Linked DNA regions of Canis lupus familiaris. The protein of the gene in region 2 interacts with the protein of the main gene of each other region in a pairwise test. Links are inferred from orthologs where the notes say so. Each region holds a gene or a part of one and is shown on either strand. Other genes may lie near its edges.

What was found.
Region 1: the proteins of RGS2 (region 2) and NIPSNAP1 interact in a two-hybrid assay, tested with the Homo sapiens proteins (2 studies listed by BioGRID and IntAct). The link is inferred for Canis lupus familiaris from reciprocal best matches to the Homo sapiens genes RGS2 and NIPSNAP1.

Annotation. Positions count from the first base shown.
Region 1 is NC_049247.1:23,203,537-23,208,100, forward strand, and holds the start of NIPSNAP1 (protein NipSnap homolog 1), read right to left. Parts: upstream 3,015-4,564; 5' UTR 2,968-3,014; coding exon 2,876-2,967; intron 1-2,875.
Region 2 is NC_049259.1:6,818,284-6,822,587, forward strand, and holds the start of RGS2 (regulator of G-protein signaling 2), read right to left. Parts: upstream 2,869-4,304; 5' UTR 2,820-2,868; coding exon 2,710-2,819; intron 1,686-2,709; coding exon 1,584-1,685; intron 1,481-1,583; coding exon 1,419-1,480; intron 841-1,418; coding exon 674-840; intron 400-673; coding exon 205-399; 3' UTR 1-204. Other genes in the region: protein SPT2 homolog, read left to right, coding at 2,876-3,276, 3,977-4,130. UniProt on the Homo sapiens protein: Regulates G protein-coupled receptor signaling cascades. Inhibits signal transduction by increasing the GTPase activity of G protein alpha subunits, thereby driving them into their inactive GDP-bound form.

The DNA.
Region 1 (4,564 bases), on a different chromosome or scaffold from region 2:
ATGTCAAAGATTCTGTATCTAAACTATATTAAGAAAGCTTCTAGACCTAGAAAAACACAATGCAGCTTTGTGCAATCTATGGGAAGGAGCTGCTCCAGATGGACCAGTTTAGCCCCTTCCACAAAAACATGTCTCACATTTCCCCATCAGCCTTTTTATCATTTTCATGTCTTGACTCCCCAGTCACACTGGAAGTCACTAGCTAATGTCCTCCCATCCCCCCATGGTACATAGCACAGTGCTTTGGGCATGGGAGTTGCTCAACAACTATTTGTCCTGGATGAGAACTTTTCAGTAAATGTCACATTTGCACTCTCGATAGGGATCAACAGTCTGACGCCCCCAACATGAAACCACTCCAGAATGTTCTCTAGATTCTCTAGATTTCCAGGAGAACTAAAATAGCTGAAGTTCTGGAGTGCCTCTCTGGCTCAGTTGGTAGAGCATGTGATTCTTGATCTCAAGGTAGTGAGTTCAAGCCCCATGCTGGGCGCAGAACTTACTTACTAATAATAAAAATAAAACAACTAAAGTCCTGTTAACAGGATTACTGGTGCAACAATAACAGCCACTATTTATTGAGCAATTACTATGTGCTAAGAACTAATCCTCACAATATGTTTTTGAGAAAAAATGAGGCTCAGAGGTGTTCCATGCCTTATTCACAGATGGTTTTAATTTTTTTTTTTTTTTTTTTTTTTTTTATTTATGATAGTCACAGAGAGAGAGCGCGGCAGAGACACAGGCAGAGAGAGAAGCAGGCTCCATGCACCGGGAGCCTGATGTGGGATTCGATCCCGGGTCTCCAGGATCGCGCCCTGGGCCAAAGGCAGGCGCCAAACCGCTGCGCCACCCAGGGATCCCTCACAGATGGTTAATTAATGATCAAGATGATTGCAATCCACATCCATCTGACTTGAAAGCCCACACTCTGTCTCCGCCCCAGCAGCCCCTAAACCTAAGAGGACAGAAAGGCTGCTGCCCACCCCTCTACGGACTCCAGAGAGATATGGGACAGGCTAAATGTCAGCAGGAGGGTATGTTCGCAGGTATCCAAAGTGAGACCACAATAGAAGTAACTATGAAGCAGTTCTTGAGTGAACTGGTATTAATTCAAGTGCCTTCACATTAATCCTGCAAAAATCCGCCATAGGGTTTATCATCCCCAATTACAGAAAAGGAAACCAAGGTTCACAGAGGTTCAGCGCCTCATCCAAGTGAGTGAGGAGCATCAGGTTGCCTGTTTGTTCCATGCTCCTTTTGTGGCCTCTGCATATTTGTCACACAAATGGCTTTTCCCTCTACTGATTTTGTTACCCTGGGAAAGTGAAGTCCCACCCCGAGCTTCAATTTCCTCATCTGGATAGCAAGGAGGTCACAGAAGATGATCTCCCAGGGACGAATGGGTGCCTCAGCCACTGAGTGTCTGCCTTTGGCTCATGTCCTGATCCCAGGGTCCTGGGATCGAGTCCCGCATCACGCTCCTTGCAGGGAATCTTACTTCTTCCTCTGCCTATGTCTCTGCCTATGCATGTGTGTGTCTCTCGTGAATAAATAAATAAAATCTTAAAAAAAAAAAAAAGATGATTTTCCCAAGGCCATTTGAGCCCTAATATTATAAGGGGTTCATTCAGAAACTTTTTGAACAAGGGCAACATCTGTTGCAAGTTCACCAGGGGCTAGAAGCCTCACATACGTGACATGTCTTTTTTAACCCTCCACTCTTATAAGATACATACTATTTTATCAATCCTATTTTACAGCTGAGGAATCTGAGACTTCAAGAGGCCAAATGACTTGCCCAAGGTCACTCCATTGAGAAAGGCTGAGTTAAATTTGCCGGTCCCAGACAAACTCCAGGATCTTCCCGTGAGAGGAGGGTTCTCCCCAATATTGGGCAGTTGGGGAAGGGGCACAGGCCTGGTTCCTCTTTCCCAATGGCCAAGAGCCACAGTGGATCCCATGGCAAGGTCTAACCGAACTCTGCAGCTTCATGCCTGGGCTGCTTCCTTTCCACAGGTGGGGAGAGAAGTGTCTTCACTTCTTTAGTAATTCGTTCTCGAGTATACTGTCCTGAACCCTGTGGTAGGGGCTGGATTAACAGATAAATGACATGACACGTCAGTCAGTCGGGGAGAAAGGCAAATGTGTCTAGAGGGTGAGGGTATGGGGAAAGTACAGGACCCTGGAGATGGAGGGGGGAGGGGGTGCCCAGACCGGGTCAAGAAGTCCAAGACCTGCCTCACTCCAGAGCGGGGCCCAAACAAAAGCCCAGGCTGAGCGCAAGGCCAAGCCAGCCTCCTTCTCCCTGGAGGCCACCAATTGTGGTGCAAAGAGCACTGGTTGTCAGGAGACATGGAGACACCAGAGGGAATGACCTTGGGCAACTCCCATCCCTTCCCAGGCCTCCTTTGCCCCACTTGTACTGTTCAGGATTGGGGAGCAAAGGGTCTGTGCAGCCATGGCCCTTAGGAGTCCCGCACTGCTCCCCGTACCTCTTCCCCCAGAACTTCCGAAGGGAGGAGCTGCCTCTCCTAGAAGCCCCCAGCGGGTACTATTTCACAATCATCCCTTCTAGAGAAGGGGCCACTCCTGCCCTCTGCCACTCTCCAGGGCGCAGGACAAGCCCCTCCCCTTCACCCCATCTTTCGTTCTCCGTCCAGAGCCAGGTACCTACTAGGACAAAGACCCTGCGCATATTTTCCCCATCTCCCCCATTCTTCGCCGAGAGCCCCTCCCCAGGCCTAGATCTTGCCCCGCCTCCAACCCAGAGATTCTAAGCGGGAGTCCGCCGGTCCCCCAGCCCCAGACCGTGGCCGCCGGCCCTGCGCCCCCCGCGCTCGCGCCACTCCTCGGCCCCCGACCCGGCTCTCACCGCGCAGCAGCCGCGACATCCCCGGCGCGGGGCTTCGGGCTCCCCAGCAGCCGCCGCGCCGCCGCAGAGATGCTGCACAGCCGCGGAGCCATGTTGGAGCGGCGCAGGTTGGAGCAAGGCCCGCCCCCAGCCCGGAGGCGGGGCGGGGCCTCGGCGAGCCCCGCCCACCGCCTAGCCGGTCGCCTCGCCGCCGGGCATCCCCTACCTCCACCGAGCCTGGGCTCATCAGGTTTAGCCTCAGAGCCCCTGCAGCCGGTCTGGTGCTGACGTGACCTTGACCAGGGCCTTTGCCCACTCTGGGCCTCAATGTCCACTTTGGTAAAATGGGAGCGTCGGACAATGATGCCAAGGGTTCTTAGTTGGGCTCTCAAGATCAGTGGCAGAGGGTCAATCAGTAGGCGTCCTGAAACTGCGTTTTTCTGAGGAGGAGGGATTTACAGGCAGTATTTAGCACATTATCAAAGGAACAAACCCCTAACAATTGAAGGCAGTTGGACAAGGCTCGGGCCACCAGTCCGTTTTCTCTCCATCTCCTTTTCTATCTTCATCCCATCTCTACCTGGGCATCCCGGGGCCTATGCCCTCTCCCCGGCCCTGCCCAGCTCTTTTGCCTGCCTTCCAAACTAACCCCTTCTCAGTCCACAATCCCCCAGATCACAGACGTCAACAAGAGTGGAGAGCCTGCAGACCCCACCAGGGGTCCAGGGGCCCAACGGGACATGGATCCTTGCATGCACACCCCCAGAATGGCCACCCATTGACTGCTAACTGGTGGCTCCCTCCTGGTATGCTTGGCAAGGCGCAATGAAGGGCAGGCATTAGTTTTGTTAATCCTTCAGCAAATATTCAGTCAGCCTGGCTATTGCTTGTGCTAAATTCTGAAACACTAAAGGCAGACAGGACAACAAGCCCCCAGCCCTCTTGGAACTTGAGGTCTGGTAGGGGAGACAAAATCAGATCAACACTGACTTTGAGCCCCTTTAGGACAGATACCTTAGGCTGCTTTCCCCTCACTTCTCTTGCCTGGTACATTAAATATTTACTGGATAAATGAAAAATATACACAAAAGTATTTTGCCAATTATAGTGCAGACTGTAAAGAAATATAGTGAGCTGTGAGGACTTACAATGGATAGGGAAGAGAAAAAGGGAGATCTATGTATACTTGTGGGTCAGTAATGACTTCTGTATGGAAGTGAGGCTTGTGCTATGATTTTTTTGCCTTGTGTTTTCTAAAGGAGCATGAATTATATGTGTGATTTATTTAAAACGGAAACTATAGGGTGCCTGGGTGGCTCAGTTGGGTTAAGCATCTGCCTTTGGCTCAGGTCATGATCCCAGGGTCCTGGGGTGGAGCCTGCTTCTCCTCTCTCTCTGTCCCCTCTCCCCCTGTTTGTGTTCTGTCTCATTCTGCTCTCTCTCTCTCAAATACATAATTAGAAATCTTTTAAAAAATAAAAAGGAAACAGTATCCTCATGATAAATAGAAAACCTGGATCAACTGTCATAAACAGGCAGAACTATCTAAATAAATGTGCAGTGGACACCACACTACAGCCACTGCCATGTAGGTAAGGCAGAAGGCTATGAGCCTGAGGCCTGCTCTTTGTGTTAAGAAGAGCACAGTGAGGTGTTGGAGACACAGCTGGGCCCAGTTGGCTTATCTGAGGGACCAAAAGGGAATATGCT
Region 2 (4,304 bases):
AGACAGAGCTATGGGAGCCGTCCCAACACAAGCTTCTCCTACACAGTCACCAGCTTCCTGATTCACTAACTCTGAATCAATAGTTCTGAGTGATGTTTCCTGAACACCCAGGCTAAATTCAAGGTCAGTCTTTTTGGAAGGTCGCAGCCTTTCCCCTTAGGAACAAAATGAAATGTCCTCCACTCTTGGGCTCCCCTTTTCGTCTCATGTAGCATGGGGCTCTGTGGCGATCTGTGGCTTTTTACACAAGTCCTGATAGAATTCTGACTCCAAGAAACGGGGATAAGAGTTGTTCTCCATCAAGCTGTAGACCCTTTTCTGGGCGGTTGTAAAGCAGCCACTTGTAGCTTCTTGTATGTTTTGGGCAATCAGAGTTTTGGTTTGAAAGTCTATGTTTATCTGAAATTATAAAAAAAAAGGGGTTTATTCCATATTCAAAGCTAGGGACTGATACCTATTTAATCGTTGAAAACAAGCAGCAAAAACTATAATGTGTGATGAGCTTCATTAGCCAAGTCATTGAAGAAATGAAATTAAGCGAATTAAAAACTAGAATTAGTTTCTTGAAACAATCTTGTCCCTCCCCCCTTTAATTTAATGTCTTTTTGTTTCATTTTGGTGCTAAGAATATTCAAAATATGCTGAATTGAAGTTCTTTTTTTGCCCCCCTTACCTCTTTAGGTGCTTCTTTTTCTATGAAATCAGTATATATTTTCCTTGCTTTGGAGGACAGCTTTTGGGGTGACTTGGTTTTTTTGAAGTCTTCGCAGGCCAGCCAGAACTCAATATTTTCTTCACAAAACTCAGATTTTAAAAAAGCCCTGAATGCAGCAAGACCATCTGGGGAGGAAGAAAGGGGGGAAAAAACATGCAGAATGTAAATTGGGTGACCAATTAATGCCTTAAAATTTTTCCAGAACTACCATTCTCCCATCCCTATATTTTATTATTTCTAAATGATGGCAATTTTCTATATTTCACTCAAACTTGTAACCCTCAGAATTTAGCCTTTTAAAGACTAAGATGCTAATAGGCAAAATGCATAAGCTGGCACACTGCTACAAAATATACTTAACTTTGCTTTTAATGCAAATATTTAGAGGGGAACCTAAATTCTCCGGGCTCCAAACCTCCTGGAAACCTTGTATGCAATGGAAAAAGCTGATTCAATTCAACCTTAAGGAAGAGCAACTGCCCCTACAATTTGGGCTACTTTTCCTTCCCTATCTACAGTGAAGAAACCATGTATTTCTATGGTTAAACAGGAAATAAAGGAGAAAAATAGGCATTAGATCTTTAGTGATTGCAAATTTGAATTCCCCTTGAGCAATCTGCTTTTCTGTTGTGAACACCTTTGTGGACTCTTGTGATATTTGTGATATCTTGTGAAATGGATCAAATTCAAAAGGTTAACTTACATTTACTGGCTAGCAGCTCATCAAACGCTTCTGACCACAGCTGTGCTTCCTCAGGAGAAGGCCTGCAAAAGAAGGTCTGCTCATTAGCTCGTGCACATCAGAATTCCTCTTTTCAGCTCAGCAGCTAGCTATTCATGTTCGCAAATACAAGATTTTTCAACTTACTTGATGAAGGTTTGCTGTTTGCTTTTCTTGCCATTTTTGGGCTTCCCAGGAGACGACGAATTTTGTAAGAAGTAGCTCAAACGGGTCTTCCAATCTTTTAATCTTAAAAAGAAAAAAAAAAAAGATATTCACTAAGTGACAACGTTTGAAATTGCTGTGGCAGCTGAAGGCATTTTTACCAAATAAAGCCACCCAGTAGCAACAAGAATCTTCAAGTCAGTCTTACTCATTTTACATTTAAACCTAGCACCTACGTGCTTAACGCAATTAGTTTCATCCCTTCATCTGAGCAGAAGTACTACTCTCATAACCAAGGGTAAGTCTACCTAGGACATTTAAATGAATTTAGATGGCATATTTCAAAAAGACAGATGCAATTTCTGACCCACAAAAGACCGCAGTTTTTCTGCAGCCTTGATTACAATTCTGAGACATTTCACACTTGAAGAAACCTAACACTGGAACTGCTTGGAGCCAGTGGGTGTTCATTTCCCTCCTACCCTTAGAGCAAGAGGCTCTGGACCACTCCAGAAGCCATGAGGCAGGGGGTGTATGTGTGTCCGAGAGAGAGAGAGAGAGAGAGAGAGAGAGAGACTGAGTTCCCCTGCCCCAGCCCAACTACAACACTCATTTTAAGCAGATGATGCATAACGATGATTTGCTGCACAATCTTTAGTGGGTGAATTAAGCAATTCAGTCAAAAAAAAAAAAAGCGATTTTAAAACGAGTATGTTCAGAACCAGCCAAAATATTCCAATCCGGAAGCTGTGCAAGCTGATCAGAACTTATAATGCAAGGCACCAGTGCTGGGGATGTGCTTCGGCCCCAGGATCCTCGGCTGCTACCTTAGACGCAGGGGCCACAAAGCCAACCTGCGAGGTCTTAGCCTCCTCATCCTCCTCATCACCACCGCCTCCCTATCTAACATGCTCTCAGTCCTAAACTACCCGAGAGTCCTTGGCTCACGCACACAGATTGAACCTTACTTAGCTAATTGCCCTCTTCCACATTTTTGCTTTTCCCTGCAGAGGCGCGGGTCGCAGGGTTTCCTAACGTCATCACGTTCGCAGCAAACCCGGAGCGCCAGGTGCGCAGCGCGGGGCGGGCGCCCGAGGGCCGTACTCACAGGGTCCGCTTCATCTTTTCCCGCTTCTCCTCGTGCTTGGGGCTGTTGCTCGAGCTCTTGTCCATGGATCCGCAGTCGTGCTGGACGGCCAGGAACATGGCACTTTGCATCGTCCACCGCCTGCCGGGGCCGCAGCTCTGCGCGGCGGGGCGCGGGCGCCGCCTTTATGGGCGGCGGCGGGGAGGGGGCGGGGCCTCCGCCGCCGGGCCCGCCCCCCGAGGGCACCGATTGGTCGGCTGCACCCGGGCGCGGGGGCGGGCGGCCCGGCCCGCGGCGGTCACGGGCGCCGCCGAAGGCTCTCGAAGCGAGGTGGGCTGACGTCCGGGGCTCGGGCTCCGGCTCCGGCTCCGGCTCCGGCTCCGGCTCCGTGCGCGCTCGGGCCCTCGCGGCGGCTCGCGGGGTTGCGTGTGGGATCGGACCGGGACGCCTCGCCGCCAGCCGCGCCCCGGCCACGGGACGACGGGACGACGGGACGACGGGAGGGGGCGCTCCCGGCCCTGGAGGGGTGCAGGCTCCGGCGGGGAGAGGCTGCTGGGAGCGGACCGGGGTGCAAGTGCTTTATTTTGAGTTAAGATGTTTTCCAACCCCCCGCCCTTGTTTTTTGGAGAGCGCGCCCTCTTCCCACGCCTCATTTCTTGCAAACAGGCCGCGGGGAGACCCTCCCCTCTTCCGCTGTGCGACTCCGTTGAGTTGGGAGGGGAGGAAAAGATGAAAGGGAGGGGCGGGGCGGGGGCGGGGGCGGGAGCGAGGGGGGTAGGGGCGGAGGGGGGCAGGGGGAGGGGGCGGGGGGCAGGGGCGGGGGGGCAGGGCAGGGGGGACAGGGTCAGGGGAGGGGGCGGGAGGGCAGGGGCAGGGGCGGGGGGGCCGGGGTGGGGGCAGGGGAGTGGGGCAGGGTCAGGGTCAGGTGGGGGAAGGAGCAGGGGCAGGGGGGGCCGGGGCGGGGGCGCGGGGGACGGGGGCGGGGGTGGGGCAGGGGAGTGGGGCAGGGGCGGGGGGGCCGGGGCGGGGGCGCGGGGGACGGGGGCGGGGGTGGGGCAGGGGCGGGGGCAGCGACCCCCGCGCGGCCGGGGGGTGGGGTGGGGGGGGGCAACCCGGAACCCTGCGGGGACTGAACGGTAAGCAGGGAAGGAACCGGAGAAAGGGACTTTATCCGACGGCCGTGTTTTAAGAGGGTGTGCAGCCTTGCTCCCCGCAACCTGCGTGATTGGGTCTTCCCGTGGGGTTGCAAAGCTTTTTCTCCGAAATCCTTGGTTGCTTCTCCTTCCAGGACAGAGAAGTCCCAGCTCTCCTCACGAGGAGACGGAGGGAAACACCAAGACGTGGAAACTGTGATGCGCCAGAGCCATCCTCGTCCTGGGAGTGCAAGGATGCAGGGTTTCCTCATGAGTCATTCTTGGCTGAGAATTTACCAGAACACTTAATAACTTGCAAAGTGGGGGAGGGAGGAGAAGAAGACGTGAAGGGTTTACTTGCATAATTTGGTGATTGTTCAAAAATCATCTGTGCGAAGGCCGGCTTTAAGTGTTTTTGAGTGGGAAGGACAAACGGAGAAGGTCCACAGTCGATGACCTCAACACAATTCACTCCTTGATTTC